3 linked regions of the Astyanax mexicanus genome follow. The protein of the gene in region 2 binds, or shares a complex with, the protein of the main gene of each other region. Links are inferred from orthologs where the notes say so. Each region holds a gene or a part of one and is shown on either strand. Other genes may lie near its edges. The genes, in order: gid4, ranbp9 and armc8.

Evidence for each region.
Region 1: the proteins of ranbp9 (region 2) and gid4 are in contact, whole or in part, in a cryo-EM structure (PDB 7NSC), measured with the Homo sapiens proteins. The link is inferred for Astyanax mexicanus from reciprocal best matches to the Homo sapiens genes RANBP9 and GID4. Residues at the interface, in NP_005484.2 of Homo sapiens: Ser223, Lys224, Gly225, Arg226, Asp227, Gly228, Tyr229, Met230, Gly256, Asp257, Thr274, Phe275, Thr276, Thr277; in NP_076957.3 of Homo sapiens: Leu187, Arg189, Asp194, Glu195, Asn216, Asp218.
Region 3: the proteins of ranbp9 (region 2) and armc8 are in contact, whole or in part, in a cryo-EM structure (PDB 7NSC), measured with the Homo sapiens proteins. The link is inferred for Astyanax mexicanus from reciprocal best matches to the Homo sapiens genes RANBP9 and ARMC8. Residues at the interface, in NP_005484.2 of Homo sapiens: Tyr271, Gly298, His299, Ser300, Leu301, Gly302, Ile303, Asp337, Asp340, Tyr341, Arg343, Glu344, Thr347; in NP_001350870.1 of Homo sapiens: Gln245, Arg246, Asp247, Val277, Leu278, Lys279, Ile317, Ile320, Thr321, Asp322, His323.

What each region holds. Positions count from the first base shown.
Region 1 is NC_064426.1:31,298,795-31,306,609, reverse strand, and holds the start of gid4 (glucose-induced degradation protein 4 homolog), read left to right. Parts: upstream 1-4,808; 5' UTR 4,809-5,003; coding exon 5,004-5,192; intron 5,193-7,815. Other genes in the region: drc3 (dynein regulatory complex subunit 3), read left to right, coding at 1,069-1,200, 1,474-1,546, 1,773-1,894, 2,539-2,670, 3,267-3,377.
Region 2 is NC_064415.1:42,231,534-42,239,197, forward strand, and holds the start of ranbp9 (ran-binding protein 9), read left to right. Parts: upstream 1-4,649; 5' UTR 4,650-5,109; coding exon 5,110-5,326; intron 5,327-7,664. Other genes in the region: E3 ubiquitin-protein ligase RNF182, read left to right, coding at 434-1,186. UniProt on the Homo sapiens protein: May act as scaffolding protein, and as adapter protein to couple membrane receptors to intracellular signaling pathways. Acts as a mediator of cell spreading and actin cytoskeleton rearrangement.
Region 3 is NC_064418.1:10,799,294-10,807,031, forward strand, and holds the start of armc8 (armadillo repeat-containing protein 8), read left to right. Parts: upstream 1-4,683; 5' UTR 4,684-4,744; coding exon 4,745-4,789; intron 4,790-7,738. Other genes in the region: dbr1 (lariat debranching enzyme), read right to left, coding at 1,184-1,269, 1,365-1,445, 2,423-2,547, 2,640-2,836. UniProt on the Homo sapiens protein: Component of the CTLH E3 ubiquitin-protein ligase complex that selectively accepts ubiquitin from UBE2H and mediates ubiquitination and subsequent proteasomal degradation of the transcription factor HBP1.

The sequences.
Region 1 (7,815 bases), on a different chromosome or scaffold from region 2:
AATTTTTTCCCATTTTTCTCCCCAATTTACACGGCCAATTACCCAACCCACTCATTAGGACTCCCCCTATCACTAGTGATGCCCCAACACACCAGGAGGGTGAAGACTAACACATGCTTCCTCCGATACATGTGAAGCCAGCCACCGCTTCTTTTCGAGCTGCTGCTGATGCAGCATTACCGAGCAGCCAGCGCGCTTGGAGGAAAGCACAGCGGCTCGGCTCCGGAACATCAGCTCACAGACGCCCTGTGCTGCAGACATCACCCTAGGAGTGATGTGGGGAGAGAGCGCCATCTACCCACCCGGAGGGAGCAGGGCCAATTTTGCTCCCTCTGACGCCGGCAGCTTGATGGCAAAGCTGCATGAGCTGGGGTTCGAACCTGCGACCTCCTGCTCATAGTGGCAGCGCCTTAGACCGCTGGACCACTCGGCGCCCAAAATTTAATTTACTTTTAATGTTGTTTTAGGAAACTATAGGGTGGGCTTGGGTTTATATTGGCAAATATGCCCCCCCCAATATCAAGCCCGCTCCTACGCCCTTGCCTACAACGGCTCATTTATAAGTACAGTATCATACACACCATATTATACAAACAACACAAATTACATGTAATACCCTTGTAAAACACCAACCCATGATATTAACTAGAACTGCTTTTAATAGCAGCTGGATTTTACCTAAAGGCCTGTTTGCACCTGTAGTATCTGGGTTCTGCAAGATGGTTCTCACATTCTTTTTAGGGCTCTATTCAACAGACTATTTAAAGTGCAAGGGAACAAATTTCACCCCTCTCATCTACCGGCAAGCACACTGAATCTGATCATGTTTTGATTGTGAATTGTGGTCCTTCTCTGACCACCTTTGAATGTGGTTTAATTGGTCCAGTTGTAATCCAATCACAATGCTTATTGTGAACAGGCCCAAATATAGTGTCATATTGATGCCAGGTTTTTAGGGATTTATTGGTTCCTTAATGATGTAAATACGTGAAAATGCTGTCATGCCATGATTTGTAAAAACCCAAGAATATAAAATCCAAACTCTGTTTGATTCTGTTTGTATTCTAGGTGATGGCAGAGATGCAGAAGATAACTGACCCAGAGCTGTTGGAGGCCCAAAGAGATAACTATAGTGAGAAGATTTCCCAACTGTCTGACACTCTCATGACCCTGGAGCTACAGCTGGTGGACCAACTAGAGGTAATATGTTTACGTTAAAATTGCTGGCCATATAAAAGAAAATATAATAAGATAGAAATAATGTAAATAATATTAATAGCTAGGGGTTTAGATCTTGGGGCTGTGATGTACGCTGTGAAGATGGGTGCACTTTTGGTGGGCATTTTTCCTCACGTATGTCTAACCACTCAGGGAAAAATTATTTAAATTACAAATGATAAACTGATTTAGACAACAATAAATTAACTATAAGCAAAGTAAGTAAAGTAACTGTTTGTAACTTTCTTTTCACAGGATGTCTTCAAAGAATTTGAGAGGAACATCTCAGACATGGTTGGAGCCTTTATTGAAAATGTGCAAGGGATATATCCTTTAACTGCTTTACCAGTGCAGAGCCACCTGTGATTTCTGGATTTTACCACTCCACTTGTATAATCTGGGGGCAACAAGGCCAGTTTTCATTGTTTTAGATGTAGTGACCTAATAGTAATTCTTACAGTGTAATAAAGTCATAGAGTATAAATTCACTGTCATGGAGAATGATGTCTCTAATGCTTATTTTTCAAATTAGCATCCTTAACCCTGCCCCACATTTGCACAATGCAGAGAACTGGAGAAGCACTATCATGAGAAACTACAGGAGATTGCTTTGGCCACGCTAGAGAAAATGGCAAGGAATGAACTGGAGGAGGATATGCCTGAAGACATGCACTTGGTCAGTAAGAAACATTTAATTATGAATTTGTTTGGATGTCATTTAGTTGATATTTAACAATCATTGTACAATATGGCACCAGGCTAATTTAGTGTATAGCCAATATATAGCCAGCGTTATACCAGCATGTGAAATATCATGGGATAGCAGTATGTAAATTGATCATGAAGTGTTACCTTAAGGCAGGGCTTGGTAACACCCACACCTGTATATGTTGTGAGGTGTTATGAGTAAGGTTGAACACTGGCCAGTGTGCTCATGGTAATGTGAATTATCATTGAGTTGGTGTGAGGCCTGATAATGGGTAAGTTCTGTGTGACATGGCAAAAGTCATGAAACACACATCTAGTCCCGTTTTTTTTGCCCTTCTTATCAACTTCAAGAGCTGACTGTTCACTTGCTGCCTATGTATTGTATATCCCAGCGCTGGATAGATACCATTGTAGTGAGATAATTGTCAAATGTCATTGACTTTACTTTGCCTCAGGTTTTAATGTTATTGCTACTCATTTGAGATTATAATTGATTACAGTAGCCTTAAAAACGCCATTAAATTGCTTCATTTTTTTACACCCCATTACACAAGAAATATTGTACTATAACAGATGAACCTGTTCTCTGCTCTGCTCTGTGCTGCCCTCTAGCTTTTAGTAGATAAGGACACTGTGGTCAAAGCTGTCAGTGCCTCTCATGACACACACCAGCTGAAGATAGATAACAGGGAGGATGAGCTTATGACACGGATCAATAGCTGGATGAGTGCAATGATGAAGTCGGTAAGACACGCCTATACTGACATGACCCTTTAACTTCAATAGGTACAGTATGTATTAACAATATTAAAGAGGAACATGCTTGGATTGTCACTGTGAATTTTTTTTTTTAACATTAAATAATGAATTGTAATATATATATATATATATATATATATATATATATATATATATATATATACACATATATATGTATATATATACGTGTATATATATATATATATATATATATACACGTATATATATATATATATATATATATATATATATATATATATATATACGTATATATACATATATATATACACGTATATATATATATATATATATATATACATATATATACGTATATATATATATATATATATATACGTATATATATATATATATATATATATATATATATATATATATACACGTATATATACACATATATATGTATATATATGTGTATATATATATATATATATATATATATATATATATATATATATATATATATATATATATATATAATAGAATATTGTATATTCAGTACTATGATAATTTAGACTTTGTCCAATATCTCCAAAAAAAAGCACAATGTTTCATGTTAACAGGTACAGGATGAGGAGGTGACACGGAATCGCAAGCGTATCTCGGAGATCCGTAACTATCTTGAGTATGTGAGGAACCAGCTGGATGAAATCATTTTGCCTGAGCAACAATGAGCAGGGACTTTTAAAGACATTTTCACCCTTTTTTGTATTTATAAGCGAACTTACAGAATGTTAGAAAGCCATATGAAGAAGAATTAACAACTGTTACACACATTTCTTATTTGACTAGATGAGATTACAAATATTTAATTTTAAAATATAGATTTAAAACACAAAAACACATTATTTTAAATAATGATCAGAAGTATAATAAAAAAAAAAATATATATATATATATATATATATGTATGTAGGCCATATTACACTATTTGTACATGTTTTGTATTATTATTATTATTATTTATTTATTTTTTTTATTATCGAAAAAAAAAATTGATCTTGTAGCTTTTTTGATTTGTGTATTTCTTGCACACTTACCCCACCTACAGGGAGAGGTTGATACTACAAGAAGGAGAGAAGAAGGAGTGGACATAATTGGCCCTTTCTCAAGTGTGTGTGTGTGTGTGTGTGTGTGTATCCGCTCAAAATGATGCTTGTTAAATAGCTGTTCCACATACGCCGCTCATGAGGTCAGTGCTCAGTAAGGAAACAAAACACAATGTGCATCATAATAATGTGCTCATTTTAATTTTAAAATATGTTGTTTAATAGCACTTTTTTATGATTGCATGATGCATTATGTATATATGTATCGTGCAAGTAAAGTAAAGTGTCAGTCCACTGTAAACAGTATAGCAGGTAAATGGTCTGTAAACAGTATTGTAAACAGTAAGGTCCATGTATAACATAATAAGTGAATGAGTGCTGTTGTCTGATAAGCTGTGAAGTTTTAATTTACTCATTTTGATTTCATGCATATGATGGTGTTTTGCACTGACACCTTATATAGAAAATACAATATATTGTAATTGCAGTATATTGCTTACAAATCCCTGCATTATGATACACAACATGTTGCTTAAGCTTTTTTCCTGGACACCTCTCTACTAACTCTACTCTGTAATGAAATTTGTTTGTCAGTGGTCATTAATTTCCCTACATGTCTGTTTACATTAGGTTGCATTTTACTGACACGCTGCAGGCCCTGCCGCTGGTTGTGAAAAGCATTTTACAGCTTTACATATGCATGATAAATATGTAAGATTCAGTCATTTTTTTTTAAGTTACATTAACCTTGGAAAACATTCATTAAACAGCAATTTTACAGAAAAAAATACTTATTGTACTTTTGAGGGTTTTTTTTCATTTTCTGTGATAAAATGTGATTTTGCATTCTTGACTGATTCTTAGAATCGTGTTTGTGTAGATTTTATAATTAAATAAAAATCCAACTTTAATTAAGAGTTTATATCAGAGCTCCAAACTCATTAATTTTAGCTAACGAACAGCCTGCAAATCCCAGCATGCTCTTCCACCCAAACGCTCGTGACCGTTGCGTCCCGCCGATACGTGACTACGTCCGACTCCACCATCCAATCAGAGCCCAGTGCTGATTTTGACGACGCACGGTGAAGAGAAGCCCAGGCTCAGATGCCGAAAGGTTGAGCGGAGCGGGAGCGGAGACCGTGGGCTCACGACCCGCCGCCAATGTGCCCGTCTCTCCTCTCGTTTTGAACCCGGTCCGTGTGTCGTGAGCTCACCTGCGCTCGGGGTTCAGCCCGCTGAAGCGTCTCCAACATGCCGGTCCGTACAGAGTGCTGCTCCTGTTCGCCTGCGGCCTGCGGAGCCTCGGCCTCTCTGGTGCCGCCGCCGCCGATCAACACGCAGCAGCCCGGGGTGGCCACCTCCCTGCTGTACAGCGGCTCTCAGTTTCGGGGCCACCAGAAGAGCAAAGGCAACTCTTACGATGTGGAAGTGGTTCTGCAGGTACGTGACTAGCTAGAACTAAATGGCTTCAGTTGAATCACAAGTTGGCAAACCAGCTGGTTTGTTTAGTATCTTAGCTTACCTAGCTTTTGGGCTGGATCCAGGTAGCTAGCTTGCTAGTTTAACCCGCCACTTGTTTGCTTACTAGTAGCAGACGTACCCTTCACACTATTTAGGTTACCTAACTAGCTAGTTAGGTATTTACCCCTCAAATAAGTTACCTTAATCAGTAAATATTCTGAAGTTCAAAAAAAGTGTGTTTTTTGTAAGCAAAGCCAGCAAAGCTTTATTCATTTATTTATTTTGGATGTTTTCGAGTCTGCTGTCTACTCATTCAGTCCTAGAGACGTCATTTTAGTGATACCAGCTGTAAAAAGTAATAACCAATATAACCTAAGTCTTGTCAGTGTAATGTTTCAGTTCAATTTTCTCACATTTTAGACAAAATTCATAAGCAGAAAATTGCATGTAATTAACCCGTCAGTGTTTTTTTTTCTTTTTCTTTTTTTAGCTGGTATAGCTAGCTAGTAAAGAAGAACTTGGTGTGCATCTATTTTTCAAAAGTTTGTCATTCACTTATGCCCCTTACAATTTAATTTCATGTTTCTTCATGTATCCAAAATCTGGTGATATGTTATTTTTGCTAGCTACGAAATTGTAAATCTTTTATTTTCATTTTCCCGGCTAGATTGTGAGGGGCATGAACATTCTTCAGGTTGCTATACTAAACTAGGGAACAAAATAATATTTGTAACTTATATAAGCTACTAAAGTTTTACACACGACTTTCTGTATTGAAAATTGAGCTGGTAAACATTACACTGACTCTTATATCCCATTATGATATCATATCACATTCTCCAAATTTCAATTTTAATAAACAGTGTTATTAATGTACAAAGTGTTATTGATACTTCTTCCCACAAACTGCACTGGTATCAGTTAAAATTAATCTCACCACGTTTACTGTTTTCCTTTGTTGCTCATTTATTTATTTTTATTTAATCATTTTTCCTTTAATATAGTTATATATATTTTGAGAATAATATAACTATTTCACTCTGTGACGTTTGACAGTTCATGTAAACTAACGCTAGCTAGCTTAGCTAGCTTATGTGGCTAATTTCACTCAAACAAGACTGTATGATTTGTCATTTAGCTTACGTTAGCTAACTAGCCTAGTTAACCTGACTAGCTTATACGGTTAACTACACCGCTGACTAGCTAAGCTAACTACATTAGACAGGTAAGCTAATTTAAACGACAAACATAGCTAGCAGCTAACTGGCTACTTGCTAAGAGTTAGCCAGTTAACCTAGCTAGCTAATGCGTTTTGTGGGCATTGATAGCTAGCTACGTAGCTAATGTGTCCTCCGTATGTTTAGTAAGCTAGCCACCTGAGTAGCACCGATGACTTATTAGCTAACCCAGCAGCTAACCTACCTAGCTAACAAGATACGCGATAGCTGCTCTTTCCAGGCAGTATGTACCTAAGCTAGGTAATGTGTTCCTAATGTATCTAAAACCAAGGCCAGTGTTTGGACCTCCTTTATCCCCTGAAGTGTTCTGTGTGAAATTTGGCTGGGCACACAGGTGACTGTATTCCTTTAGACATGTTATCTAGCGTTAGCTACCGCTCTGCCCCACATTTACTGCCTGTAACGCAGTAGTGAAGCTCTGTCAAGCATGTTCCAGCGCCAGTGCAACACAAGGGAAGCCGTTTTAGTCTAAAATCACACTAGTTAACTATTCAAGTCCTATCCAGAGGTGTAATAATATTAATAGAAGTAGAACTGGCTAACTACCGTACTTAGGTAGTTACTAAAATGCTGTATCTGTATCTGCTGGAGTATTAAAATTACTTCACTACTGTATTTAAGAACTACAATGCTGTATCTATCTACTGGATTATTATTTTTACTTCACTACTATATTTAAGTACTAAAATGCTGTATCTGTATCTGCTGGAATATTAATATTACTTCACTACTGTATTTAAGAACTACAATGCTGTATCTATCTACTGGAGTATTATTTTTACTTCACTACTGTATTTAAGTACTAAAATGCTGTATTTGTATCTGCTGGAGTATTATTTTAACTTCACTACTGTACTTAAGTACTAAAATGCTGTATCTGTATCTGCTGGAGTATTAATATTACTTCACTACTATATTTAAGTACTAAAATGCTGTATCTGTATCTGCTGGAGTATTAATATTACTTTACTACTATATTTAAGTACTAAAATGCTGTATCTGTATCTGCTGGAGTATTATTTTTACTTCACTACTGTACTTAAGTACTAAAATGCTGTATCTCTCTAATAGAGTATTATTTTTTTCCTAGTTCTCTTACTTCTACGTTTACTATACTAGCATTACATATTTTCCATAAGTGTAATACTTTTACTCTCGTACATTTTTATGTGCTGCATCATTACTTGTTACAATTATTAAAATGTTAGGGATTATTTCAAACCCATATCAAATTATATCAAGCCAGAGCGGTAGATGCTTTGCACTTTCACCAGGTTTGATGAAGCTTTTCATCGTTGAGAGAATCAAGCAATCACGCCGATCTTATAAGAAGACCTCACTGCTCCCGTTCCGCCTTTCAACAG
Region 2 (7,664 bases):
TAATCTAAGTCTTTTAAAATAAAAAAAATTATTACAACACATAAGATACAGTAGAAAGACCCCTTATCAGTGTTAACAGTGCACCACAGAAAAGAGGAATGGAGGCACTAATTGGACTGAATTTGACTGGCAACAAAAGGTCTGGCTAGAAAATTCCAGCCCTGGTTTTACAGGGCCTGCTTTGTTGCTGTCGCGTTTGTTCTCTAGTGCTGTGTTAACAGTTATCTTTTCTCTGGCAGCCTCTCCCCACCCTTCCACAGAGTGCAGGAAAGAGTGTCCAGTGCGAATGGGTCCAGCGCCGCTCAGACGCTGCTCCAGTTTGCCCAAGCCTGCATGGCACTCTCTCTGGAACCTGTCTGTGGTGTAGCAAGAGTCTCTCAACCATGTCTGTTACTACAACAAGCCCTTGCCACAACACTGAGAGGAGAGAGGCATGATGGGTCAGCTTCCAGAGGAGGTTTTGGAAGGCTTTGGAGCCGAGGAACTGGAGTGCAAGATCTGCTACTGCCCTTACACTCTGTCTGGACGACGGCCTAAAGTGCTTGAGTGCTGCCATCGCTTGTGTGCCAAATGTTTGACCAAGATCCTTGATCTGGGAGACTCACCCCCGAATGGGGTGGTCTGTCCTTTCTGTCGCTATGTTACTGGACTCCCTGGAGAGGCTGTGGCAAGTCTGCCGGACGATTGCAACCTTGTGACGGCATTAACCATCCGTACCCGCTTTTATTCCAGCCTTCGGGAGAACCACCAGGGCGAGATCTTGTTGAGCCCCAGATGCTTGAACACTCTAGTGGGCCACTCGGCATCAGCCTCACCTTCGTCCATACGCTCCAACTATGTGGTCATCACCATCATGGAGCCTCCACAGGAGCCGGTGGTGGGTACCAACGGGGCTGGAAGGAATCATCACTCATCCAGTCTGGACTCCATGGCCTCGGTTACCCGGCGCTGGACAGTGTGGAACTGCGCAGCCCTGCTTTGTCAGACCTCAGCCCGAGCCCTGCTGTGGCTCCTTGGGCTTCTCTACTTCAGCTCCCTACCACTAGGCGTTTACCTGCTCATCATGCAGAAGACCACGCCGGGCGTGCTGCTGGTCAGCCTGGTGCCCGTCAGTCTGCTCGTGATCATGGGGTACGGGCTTTGCCAGTGCATGTGCCATGAGTTCTGGAACTGTGTCCTGCCATGACTACCAATGGGAGGTGGACTATTTGCCCAAACTTGTTATCTAAACTGGTGACCTCACCACAGGAATTCTGGATGCATCAGTGGTGCGACAGGTTTGTGGAAATCTATGGACTCAATTTTGGTATTTTCTGTTTTATTTAAGGAAAGAGAAGTGTGTTAATTAATGACTGAGATTAAAAGTTAAGTTTGTCATGTTTTTTTAGCATTAAATTCCAAATCGCAATTGTGATTATGCCTTGGATGGGATGAACTAATGGACCCTTGATGTAACATGGCTAATGGTGTATCGGGTTAATGCCTTGATTCATCAAAAACCTGAGAATCTGAGAACTGGTCAGAATGCTCATGACACATGATCAGCATTGGAAAGACCAATATCACAATAACTATAAAACATTAAATATCATTTATCCTAAGCTGCTAAAGAGCATAATTACAACAGAGCTCCCAACAATTAAGGTGTTCTCTTGCTAATATTTTGTATAGGAAAAGTTTCCCAGAAAGGGATTAAGCTGATCTTGGACTTTGTCAGGAAACTTTTTGAAAATATTTTTACTTAGTTTTGTAATCCACCAAATATATTCAATTACAAGAGTGTCTGTGTATTGTTTTTTTCCTGTGTTTCTTTTATTTCCCAGACAATTAATTAATGACAATGTAAATAATATAGATATGTGCACTGGAAAAATCTGTGTGAGTCATTGTTTCAATGAGGGAGAGATGTTGTATGTTGGCCACATATGAGTATGCTAATAAAGTATTTAGCCTACCTTAGCAGGCCTTTAACCTGAAACCTATTGGCATCAATTTGTAAAATGAATGATTCTTTAAATAAAATAAAAATAGGTATTTATTGTATATTTATATGGGACTTGACTATGAGTTGGTATACTCTTGGTTCATTTCTGGTTTGCAAACTGTTTGGAAAATGTTCCCATCTGTTCAAATAATTTTACATTCAAATTTCTAGTTTCTATAAACATTCAGTTATTTTATTTCTTTACTTATTTTTAAGTTAAAGCAGCAGTACTTAAGATTTATTTAAAACAGTTGTTCTCCTTGGTTGGGAGTACAACTCATTGCAAGCCAAATATATTATATATAGATTTTTTTCTGGTTACTTGAGCAAACATGGTGATGGTATTGTTGCTGATACAAACTCAGTCTGTTCATTCTCACACTGGTTAATCAATGAAACACAGAATTAGAGCTGAAAAGAGCTGGCAAGAAAAACGAGACCAGATTCATCCGCTCTAACAGGAAACCGCACCACAACAGACTTCTAAAAAGTACTCTTCCACATGCTTGATTCAGTTACACATTCTTTTTTTACATTTAATTTCAAATTTTTATCCCATTTTCTCTCCAATTTACACAGCCAATTACCCAACCCACTCATTAGGACTCCCCATATCACTAGTGGCAGGCGTATGTATCTTTATAGAGAACACTTAAGTACGAAACAAGGACAGTAGAAAAACATGAGAACATGCATTGTGCTGAGAAATTTGGCTGCATACAATTCACGCTAAGTTGTACTTTATGTAATATATTGCGTCTCATGAGAATATAGCTTTTATGTCAAAAAGTTAAGTTGCTCTGGATAAGGCTGTCTGCTATATACCTTAAATAAAAATGTAAAATAGGATTTTTATCCTCTGTATTTTTAGAAGTTCAGAGGTTTCTCTTAAATCACTGTAATGGACAATAATTTTGAGACCAGAGGACATCCTGGGCTTTCTTGTGAGGCTTTCTTTGATAGTGTCAAAACAGTGCACAATTACTTTTTAAAATTTCAGTTTTTACAGATATTGTTTCTGCTGCTAATAATCAAAATGTTTTTTTAAATATTTTTGTTAACTTCATACTGTAATTTTAACTATTTCAAACCACATTTTATGAATCACTTTTATTTAGTGTCCTCTGTGGTAAACAACAGGGCTTACTGAATCGCATTTTTATCTGGTTCCCATACCTGTAAAATCTGAGGGCTGAGTGAGGCTAAAAGGATTTCACTCAGAATTGTGAAAGGGAACACAAATGCAGAGCTCTCAGATAAATTAGAGAATGGCAGGATAGTAGAGCAGGAAGTGAAAGGTCAGAGAATGATCTAGAGTCTGAAAAGGACCAATCAGCTTTTTAGAGGGCTGAGCAGAAACTTTCAGTTATTTTGGTTTTGGAAAGATTTTGGAGCAGACAAACTAGTGGGAGGTGCAAATCTCTGGAAGAAGCTTTTCATAGGACAAAAGAGACAAGTGATTAGTATGTTTGTCTTCCAGCGCTGGAGTCCTGTGTTCAAGTCCCTATCTGGGTGAAGGTTTCATGTTCTCTTTGTGTCAGTGTGGGTCTCCTCAGGTTCCTCATGTTAATTAGTTGCACTTATAATTGCCTAGAAAAAAATGGATAACCTAAATTTGTCTGTTATTTATGTACGACTGTATGCCCAGATATGGACTGGCACTCTGTGCTGGGTAAACTCGATGTAGCCGATGTAGCCCTCCAAGTGGATTTCCGGTTGTGAGTACCAATTGGCTGGCACTTCTCACTGGTGAGTGTTGAACAGTGTAAGTGATTGTGTGTGGAATGTAATTATAAGTGTCTTTGAGTGCCTAGAAAGTAAATATCTCATGATGATATCGTCACCTTCCTAAAATAATTCACCTTTTTTTTGCCTAAATCATCTCCTCATAGTGCTGCATGGTACCTGTGGTAAAATCATCTACATACTCAGCAGATCCTTTGATTCTACCCCTTTAGGATAATGGCCTAGTGTGTCAATAGTGTGACTTTAGCTAATTTATTTATGTTTTATTAATTTTTTTAAACTAAATCTACAATAACTACATTATTCTGGGTACGTGATTCAGTCAGTAATTGATGAGATTTTTACTTCAATATCAAATTTTCTTCATATTAATAAAGCCCACAAGCTGTAAAGATGGCATAGTAGTTTAGTATTATTATTGAGTTAGATTTTTTTTTTAGTCTGTATTTTTGTGTCTGTTAAAATGTTATCTGTTTTCTGTCTTTTTAATCAATATTTTAAAAACTGACTGTATAATAAACTAATCTCTTAAACCACTGCACTCATTATTAAATAGCCATTACAACTGTGATGTGTTTTTTATGTTTCCTGAAAAAATAAGTTATGGTAGGAGGGTGTTGATATGTCTCATTTGGCTGCAAAATGTTCTTCGCACGGCGATTTGTATTTCATTATTTAAAAATGCTGTAAATGCTCCACAACGACAGAAACACTCAAAACTTGAATGTCAGCGTGTGTCTGCATTTAGAAAAATACTGCCAGTAAATGAATAGTTTAAAAACTCTGATTATCGAATATTAATATAATTTTTTGAACTTCATGACCTTTTAAAGCGATGTTAAGAGAGCCTGTAATATTATTGACAGCCTGCTCCTCTATCAACTCCTCCAGAAGTGTGACTGGACTGAGCGAGAGCCAATCAGAGGAGCGGATTTCTCACCAACAACAAACAAAAGATCTGGCTCAGGCATCCACTGCGCTTTCTCCATGTCTTTCTCTTAATTAACAGCCATCTAATAGCTGAATGTCAGCCTGGACGGCGACATTAAAGTCTCTGCTCGGTATCTGATCGCTTCCGTCTCCTCGGCACTGCGCTGTTATCCGCTGAGCTGCCCCGTCCTTTCGCCTACCAGCCGCTGTCGGAGATCCGTTTGCTCGCTGCTAGCTGAGCTAGCTAGCTGTGGGAGCTAGCGGGCTAGCGGGGCTAGCGGAGCGGGGAGAGGAGCCCCCAAAACCGCTCGGAAACCACGGCCAGCGGGCGTGTTGTGGCGGCTGACAGCAGACGCAGCAGATCCCTGGCTGCTGCTGGATAGCGAGCTGTCCAGCTGAGAGTAGCTGGCTGGTAAGCGGTCGGTGTGGAAGGGAGGAATCTGGCCGAGATGTCCGGACCGTCATCGGGCTGCGGGTTTCTGATGTCGGTCGTTGTTCACGGGGACTTGGCTCTGAACGAGCAGGAGAAGGAGCTGAACCAGCGGCTCAGGCGCCTCTACCCGGCCGTCAACGAACAAGAAACGCCGCTGCCAAGATCGTGGAGCCCGAAGGACAAGTTTAGCTACATCGGCCTGTCTCAGAACAACCTCCGGGTGCATTATAAAGGTAAATCCACACTGCAGCAGCAACATCAACAACAACATAAACAACAGCAGCAGCTGAAGCAGCAGGGCTACCTAACTGGAGGAACAGCTAGCAAGCTAGCTAACCTAGTTAGCGTTAGCTAAGTCAGCTAGCTAAATGGGACCAAGTTCCTCTCCAGCGTTTGTTTTAACAGTTTTTACAGACTGGTGTTATTGCGGGATAGTTAGTTCAGTAGCTAATTAATATAGTTAGCGAAGATGTAATTGAAAGTAAAGCCTAAAGGATTTTTTTTAAGTTTAGACGTTTTAGCCCAAAATCACACCAGTCTTAGCTTACTCACTGTATCCTAGTAAATACTCACTACGCAAATCAGGTTTCACTAGTAGAAACTCGCATTTCAGATTAATAGCTAGTAATATCAGATATACAGATCAATTCAGCCATTCTGTCTAATGTAACGATCACGTTTAATATACCACAAGTCCCTAATGTAAGTTAGTTAATTTCACTGATCATATGTTTTGTGCACATACAATGTCACACTCTCTCTTGTAACGGTACATTTGTATTAGTGAAAGCGTCAATTATATATATCTACAATTATTACAGTTACTTTTTACCAGTAGAACTTGTAATTCGACATATACACCCTGACTAATAAGAATTCTAAGTTTTAAATGTCAATATTGTTGTTGATGTAGATATCTGAATGTATGTTCAATGACTGTAATACTATACACATCATAAATACACATTGCCATTAAAATACATGAATTAAAGATGGCTTGAATAAAAATATGATGCTAATCAGAATTAATTAATGGTTATTTGGACTAATCTGAATTACAGGGTTTAAACATATGGGGCTACAATTTGTACTAGTATACAATGTATAGTTATAATAAAAGTTAGATATCTATAACTAGAGTTTTGATTTAATAGTAACACTAATAATATTAATATAAAACCTAAAAAGGAAAGAGTGAAAATCAATGTAAATCAGTTGTGTAGCATACTGTATGACTAGTCAAATGTCAATTAAGCTTATGTTTCCCAGGGAATGTGACGATAGGCCTACAGAATATATTCTAGATATTTATTTTATAGATTTTTACTACTGAACATTAGTCAGTTAGCTTCATTATAGTAATCATTATACATTATATAGAAAATTAGTTTGACTGTTGAATCACAGGCCAGTTTAGTCTAATTTTAGTATAAAAGGGCTTGACATGTGAAAAGTGTAGCTTAGCTAGTTGCATTCGCTACATATAACAGGTTTGAGTGAATGAATCCTGTCTTGTAGTTAACTGTTTGACAGCTTTGTCACAAACAGGACTAGCTAGCCTGGTAGGTAAAAGCAAGCTAACTAGGTTAGCTAACGTACAAAACAAACCAGACACAAAAAGCTACGCAGTGAACGCCTTATTTAACCACGCTCACTGTTAATACTGTTGGTTAGGAGGGTATAGCCTGAATTTGAACAGTGACGGTGAAGATAATTTGAGATTACTGGAGTTTCTCCTCCAAGTTTTCAGAGTTAGCTTAGATTAGCTAGCCAGGCTGCTAGTGAGCTAACTCGACCCATTCTTCAATGAAGTCCGGAAGTAACTGTTAGCGGCTCTCTGTAAAAGAGCTAGACGACTTTCAGGACAGTTTCGTGTCCTAGTCTTCACCCTGTGTCGTTGCCCAGCTGTTAGAGCTCGCTAAAGAGCTTGTCAGAGGCTGCCTGTTGTCAGTCAGAGTCCTGGTCAGCTCGGCTGATCCGCTGTAACGTTATGTATCTAGCTGCCTGACTAAACACTGCAGCCCAGCAGCTCAGCAAGGCCCTACTGTGCTCACCGCTCGATAATGTGTTTTTATTATTATGAGCCGAGGAGACACAGCTTCTGTGTTGCTGACAGGCTAGTGGATTAGCCAGCAGGCTAACTGTATGGGCCCCCATTTTGCCTCAAACAAACAAGATAACCAACTGACCAGCTGAACAAGTTTTTACTAATGTAGCTAACCCAGCTACCCCCCTCCACTCGCTCAAGTGCCAAATGGGCTGTAGCCATTTTCCTCACCTCAGTCAGTCAGAAAGTGAGGCCGCATAAAAATGTAAGCTAAGGCAGTTTATTTAGCTCCCCTGGGTTGATTAAAGTGAGCCTGTGTTTACTCGTCTATACTGGGATGTTTTTGCCTCAATAGAACACAAGTTACATAAACATTTATGGTATAATGTTGCCTTCAATTGGCTGCAGGCTGCTGTAAACAGGTTTGACATTAATGTAGTAATTCCAGGTAGGTGACCTTCGGCCACTTGGTCAGTACAATCCCATTGTTTTGAACCTAAAATAACTCAATACAGGAAAGGCCG
Region 3 (7,738 bases), on a different chromosome or scaffold from region 2:
CGGTGAGAGAGAGAGAGAGTCGATGCTTATAGAGAGGTTGTGTTGAAAAGATGGTTTTGCTGGTATGACCAGAAGTTCAGTCTTTGAGAGATTTAATTGAAGGTGATGCTCCTTCATCCAAGAGGATATGTCAGAGAGACACGACGATATCCGTGCAGAGATTGAGTTATCTTCAGGTGAGAATGACAGGTATAGCTGGGTGTCATCAGCAAAGCAATGGTAGGAAAAGCCATGTGAGTGGATAACCTGACCAAGAGAGGCAGTGTATATTGAGAAGAGAAGGGGACCCAGTACCGAACCCTGGGGAACCCCAGTGGATAGGGAGTGGGCTGAGGACAGCTGTCCTTGCCACGACACCTTGAACGAGCGCCCAGTGAGGTATGATCTAAACCATGACAGCACATTGTCTGAGATCCCCATGTTTGAAAGTATAGTTAGGATATATACTAGGGCTGGGAATTACAGGGAATCTCATGATACAATATATCACATCAAGATATGTTGCCCACAATTCTCTACGATACTTCACAACATATGTGTTACTGAAGAAAATTAAATACTTCTATATAAGCAAATACCAGAGATTATGGATTTATTGCTGTCAATTTCACATTTGAGAAGCACTAACACATGGAGTAATGGAGCACCCAAAAAATGCTTCACAGAGTATTTTGGTTTGTTTATCACTTTTTAAGTTACTACATGATTGATTGTGTGTTCCTTCATTGTCTGGATGACTTTAGTATTAATTTACAATGTAAAAAAAAAAAAAAAAAAAAAAAAACTAATAAAACAAATAAAAACACTGATTGAGAAGGTATGTAAGATACTTTTGGCTGGTAGAGTATAATCATTAGGGTTGTATGAAATATTGAGCAACAAAATAATTTACTTTTTTATGTTGAACCTGCTGTTAAAAATAAATGTTTTTGAAGCACAATAGCAAACAAAAAAGTGGCCAATTTTTAAAAAAAATCTGCGGACAAAAAAACGTGTTCTGTATTTGGTGTTTGAAGATATGCCATATGTGTCAATTTTGTTCTGATTCAGCTAAAAGCCTAATAATTAATATTATGGGCATACAGTTTATTGTCACGTTTTAATTTAGATTCTTACTCAATTTAAGCAACACAAACAGGTACATATTCAAACCCCTTTCAGCCTCCAGCACAGTCCGGCTCACCTGTTTGAGCTTAAAAACATCACTGTTCCTGATGTGGTAGACACTGCGCAGGGTCTCTTGGTTGTAAGGTGGAAACTCAAAGTGTCCTGAAACAGATTAATGAGCAGGTTCAGTATAAATGTCCAATTTATGCAATGTCATATATCTTTACTTAAATGTGTGGAGTATGCTCTGCCATTACCTTTTCTGTAATCATGGGATTTGAAAATTCCAGAAAGACCACCAATCCGTATTCCTTTGTAGCGAACAACACCAGCATAACCTGCAAAACAAGCAATACAACCCCACTTTAAATCACTGGAATAAAGATCTAAGAGAAAAACTGGAATCTGATAACATCACCTAACAATGACTGAGTTCTCAGCGTCCACAAAACTCTTAACAATAGCTTTTTTATATTATAGAAAACTGCAGTGTATGTCAAAAAATATGTGAACTAAAATTAAAATTACAATACCTCAATGACTAGGTAAAATTTATCCTATCCAAATAGGGCAACTTAGCCCAAATAGGGCAACTTAGCCCAAATAGGGCAACTTAGCCCAAATAGGGCAACTTAGCCCAATTAGGGCAACTTAGCCCAATTAGGGCAACTTAGCCCAATTAGGGCAACTTAGCCCAATTAGGGCAACTTAGCCCAATTAGGGCAACTTACAAGTAGTCCAAATAGGGTAACTTAGTCCAAATAGGGCAACTTAGCCCAATTAGGGCAACTTAGCCCAATTAGGGCAACTTAGCCCAATTAGGGCAACTTAGCCCAATTAGGGCAACTTAGCCCAATCAGGGCAACTTAGCCCAATTAGGGCAACTTTAGCCCAATTAGGGCAACTTTAGCCCAATTAGGGCAACTTAGCCCAATTAGGGCAACTTACAAGTAGTCCAAATAGGGTAACTTAGTCCAAATAGGGCAACTTAGCCCAATTAGGGCAACTTAGCCCAATTAGGGCAACTTAGCCCAATTAGGGCAACTTACAATTAGTCCAAATAGGGTAACTTAGTCCAAAAAGGTTAACTTTATACATTATACTAACAGGAACATGGATAATATTCCCACTATTGTCCATGCTTTTATTTAACATTTTCTAATTTCTAAAAGTAAAAAAACACTCAGATAATTAATACATAAATACTTCAAATCTAATCAAAGATATTAAATGATCTCAGACAAAAGAACATTCTATTATAATGTTTAGCACTTTACTTTATAGGCAATACAGCAATACAGACACAAACTCTTACCCAAATAGTAAATATTGGGGGCGACCCACCCTCCATAGGGAAGCTCCTGTAAATGGTTTGAAGCTTCATGGTTTCCCCCGATGAAGATAGTCAGGACAGGTGCTTTCTTCTCTCCAGAATAATACCTTTTACAGTGCGAATGAGATAGAAAATATTAAACAAAAAATGCAGCAGCATACACAGCTGCAGTAGATCGATCATCTACGTAAAATCTTACTTGTAAAAAGTTTGCATCTGCCTGTACTTGGTCGGCACGGCCATACACTTCATGTCCCCCTCATTCCGCACAGCCTGGAAGTCCCCACAGCACAGCAGCAGGTCCACCTTGAGGCCTTCCTTGCGCTCCAGGTGGCTGATGGTCTCGTATATCTTGTCCAGTTCGCCATGGCAGCAGCCTTCAACAGCTATTTTCATATCCGTAGATGTTAAAGTCCAGATTTTGTTTTAAAAAAATAAATATTGCTAACACAGGAAAAAGTGCTTCTTCAGACAGAGTCTTATTAAATCCAGGAACTCTGAGTCGTGCATATCCAGACCAGTGAACCTATTGACAGGACAAAGGTCACATTAGTCCAATATGTTAAACATGGTGGGGGTTTTCACATGGACACATTGGACAGATACAGATATAGCATAAAATCAATAGAAATGCATTTTAAGTAGAATGGTAGTTAGACTCTGGAGGAACGTCCAACAACCACACAAGCCTGTTAACCATCAAACTAAAACATAAATCATAACCCTGTACTGGTCAGAATCTAGCTAAGCTAGTCAACCAGCTTGACCAGTTTGAGTTGATTATCTTTTTTTCTTCAGCAGGTTATTCACATATTTTAACTTGTCAGTTTTAGGGTTTAAGAAGTGATAGACGCTGCTCATCAGGTAACGTTAGCTGAATAACTGCAACAAAACGGAATTATCCGTTCCACCTTAAATTACTTATTACGTATTAGCTAACGTATTGGCGCCTGAACAGACGCCAGGCAGTAAAGGCTGCAGTATTTAAGGTGGACCGGACAATTCGAAACAGAAGCCCACGACACGGCACGAAATGGAAGATTATACAGCTAAATTAAAACTGCAAGCACACAAACAACATTTCTGACATTATTCCATCAAAACAAAAAAGCTGTGTGTGTAGTCTCACCTGTATTTTAGTCGTTAAACCGCTGCTTTAACAATATTTCCCTCTCAGTGATCCAACTTACCCTCCATTATTCACCGGCCACGCATGCGCACTCGCTGTACTTTACATGGTAAAACCAGTTTTGCCAGCCACCAGCACTTTCCACTATGCAAAAATTATTTTCGTAAAAATATAAGTCACGTATAGCGCACCATTTAGTAAAATAGCGGTTTATGTTTTCTTTCCTTTAAATTTGTATCAGTAACAAAACTTTCCCAAAGAAATAAAATGATTCATAAAGCATAAAATAATAATAAGCAAAAACAGTGATTAAAAGCTTCAGTTAAACTATATACAGTACCACACACACACAAGTAAATTTAATATAGACGTTAAATCTATACAGGAACACGTGGAACTATGTAGTTTATTCATTACTTTACAGATTAATATGTAGATTAATTATGTTCTCTCTCTCTCTCTCTCTCTCTCTCTCTCTCTCTCTCTCTCTCTCTCTCTCTCTCTCTCTGTCTCTCTCTCTCTCTCTTCTCACACCCCTACACACACTCACTCGCGTAGTCATGCACACAGAGCTGATGGCACGTTTCCTCTTTTCAAGCTGTTCAATGTGAAATATGGATGTAAACTAGCGTATATTTTCTATATTCAAAATCCCAGTTAAACTCAGCAACTCGGCTCGTTACAATAGTGTAGTTTAAAAAGCAAAACTACCCTGAGATATTGTAATACAGTAAAAAAAGAACCCTTCATAAAATGAAAGCCTTAAGGAATTTTAGGAAGGGGACATAAAATCTGATTTTTGTTTTACCGTATTATAATATATTTTTCTACCAGTATTAAAAATATGTAATCATGATTTCATCTGTGATTTAATCACAGAATATTGTTGTGATCAATACAAGAAAGGGACTGGCACCAATAACATAAATGTTTCATGTTTCTAAAAGTGATTCTTGTTTAAAATACAGTTTATCAAAAGCGTAATCTTTTCTTAAGGAAGATAGGATGTAATTAATGGTGTCTAATCACAGGATGTTCGTGTGATTAGCGTTAATTAGATAAAACAAAATTTATGAGAAGAGGTGTGTCCAAATTTTGACTGGCTCTCTCTCTCTCTCAGGTGTGTGTGTGTGGAAAGTGCCGCTCGTGTTCCCCGGCTGTTCGGACACAGAGAGATGGCGTGTCTGCTGGAGGCCCCGCTGCGCATCAGCGTGCTGTCCGTAAGTCCGAGCCCCTAAATCTTCCTCTAACCCCGCTGTTTTTCGCGTGTCCCGCGGCTCACACCTGCAACCGGAGCCGTGGAACCTAGTGCGGTGTTTGGTCTGAAGTGCAGTGCATTAGTTGAGCGTGTTTGTGCGGAGCACCGCGGGTGGATCGGGTCGGTCAGGCGGAGTTAACTCACTCACCGGCGGCGCTACAGAGCCGGGAGAGCTGGGGTTAGCTCCGGCTAGCCGACCTGCAGAGCCCCGCAGCGCCCTGCACTGCCCGACAGCTGGTTTAACTCCATCCAGCAGAGCGAGCCCGCTTGTTTATTAGTCTATTGCCTGGAAAAGGTGCTTAATTTCGGGTTTAGTTAGAACGCTGGCTAAACACCCGGAGCTTTAGCTAGCTGCCACTGAAGTTGGGTGACTTTCTGGGCTGCTGTTTAGCCCTGTATTTGCTCGGCTAGCTAGCTCTAATCAACCTCTATCTGTCTAACTTGCTAAGGCTAACGTAGCCAAGCTAGCCCTACTGTGTTTACTGAATCCCAGGCTGTCAGCTTTAGCTAACAAGCCTGGCAGGTCTAACCTATATATAGCTAGATAGCTAACTAGCAGATGTATGTTGGTTTGATTATGTGCCAATAGAGAGGTAGCTAATTAGTTAGTTAGCTAACCTTGTGTGAAACTTCAACCATAAAGCTAACTCTAGCTTAGCTAGCTAGCCATGTCAAACTGCCAAGCTAATTGGCTAACTCATGCTAGCCGCTGGAAACGCCCCCGTCTTGTTGAGTTCTATACTGTCAAAAAATTAGCAGCTTCAACTCAAAAACTTAAGTAAGTTACAAAAGCTGTTAAAGTATAAAATTTTATTTAAAGTGAATTTACTATTTACGTTATGTCTGATTTGGCTTTGGACGCATCTACGCATTGTTACACCAGTAATAGCACCGTTACAAAGTAAAAAAAAAAAAAAAAGAAAAGCAGTGTGAAAGACTGGTGGAGAAGAACATGCCAAGATGCATGAAAACTGTGATTAAATAATTAATTGATTCCACCGAATATTGTTTTCTGAACTCTTAAACTTTGTGAATATTGTGAATATCTTTGCATTATTTGATGTATAAAAGCTCTGCATCTTTTTTTATTTCAGCTATTTTAAATGCTCTAAATGACAGTATGTTTATTTGGAATTTGGGAAAAATGTTGTCTGTAGTTTATAGAGTAAAACAAAGTTCATTTTACTCAAAACATATACCTATAAATAGCAAAGTTGTCTCTTATTTGTTTCCAGAGCTGTAAGTGAAACTCATGCATGCAGCAAATAGCAACTTGCTCTTATAGCCGTTAACACCCAGGCTTGCTAGGCAGTACTTTTTAAGCTTGTAACCCAACTTTATGCAAACAATAAAATGAAAGCGCTACCTGGTCCTCACCTGGAGAACAGGTTAAGTAAAACTAAAGATCTATTTAAACTAGTAAAAATAAATACAATATATACATCAAGCATCGGTTTAAAATATGTCGACTCTAATGTCGGTTTCCAAAATGCATTCGCATATAACTAGTCTTTTTTTGTTTGTTTTTTTGTTTTTAAATAATGTTTTTGTTATTAAACTTTCAGTGTTTGACTACTGTTTGTTTAATTCATTGTGCATTGAATTCAGCTGCTCAGCCACGTAAACCCATTTCATGAAGCTCTCTACTTTCAACTCTTCTTGAGCTAATCTGAAGGCCACATGATGTTTGGAGGTTTGTAGCGATTGAGGTCTGTAGCGTGAATCCCTGTACTAACTATTCCGCAGTCAATTTTCAGTAATAATATAACGAAGTGGGAGTGACTGGAAACGACAGCAACTCTACCACAAATGGCAGGTCACGTAAAAAGGCAGAGCAGGGTCAATGGATAGGTTTCCTTGGCCAAACAGCTGCATTTAATACTTGAATTGAATTAAGAAGTCAAACAGTAGTCAAAACCTGGGATTGTAATAACACAAAGCATAAAAAACACAAAAAATAAAATTTGTGCATTATGGAAATGTGTTTTTTGATTGACTGCCTTGTGGTGTGTTCATAAAAGCACATTATATTCACAGATACTTATATTGTTTTTATATATTGTTTTTATGTTTTGAAATACTCTCTTCTTTGTACTCTATACTTGTTGCAAAAACGCAGTGACATTTTTCAAGTTTTTGATAAGGGTGTGTAATTGCACCAAGCATGATAAAAAATACTATTAAAATAATTCTAGCAAGGATTCCTTTGCCCTCTTCTTTAGGTCACCAGCTAGCTCTTGTATCAGCACCATTATCAGCAGCATAGTTGCTCAGGTAACCAGGAATAGCTGTTATAACCCGAAGAAGACCTGGGGACCTACCAGACACACTGTGTTCAGGAATAATATATTTGGCTTTGCAGGAATGGTAGCAGAAGCACATAAATGTCATTTATGTGGCATGGTGGGTGGTGTGGTGCAGTGGATAACCCGACCGCCTGATAGTGAGCTACTGTTGTGGAGACACGGGTTCAATTCCAGGTCTGGGTGACTGGAGGCTGTGCTACACCAATAAGAGTCCCTGGACAAGACTCCTAACACTACATTGGCCCACCTGTGTAATAGAAATAATCTTGTAAGTCACTCTGGATGATAGCATCGGCTAAATGCTGTAAACGTACATTTATTTTAACAAGATTTAATTAACAAGATATAATATTAAGGACAGCTGTGTTTAATCATTTAATTAATTACCCAACAACCCCTGGGCTCCTCATATTTTATACGTATGATTCCATGTTTTATACTTATACTGAACTAATTATATTGTCTTACTTGCATTGTGTGTTAGGGAGGGGAGTTTAGGTGTTTTAAGGTGGAGGAAGGGATAGGGTAACATACCTCACAGGTAGATCCGTTGGTCTGGTTGTTTTAAACAAACTAAAGACTAATTTATGATGGATGTAGGATCT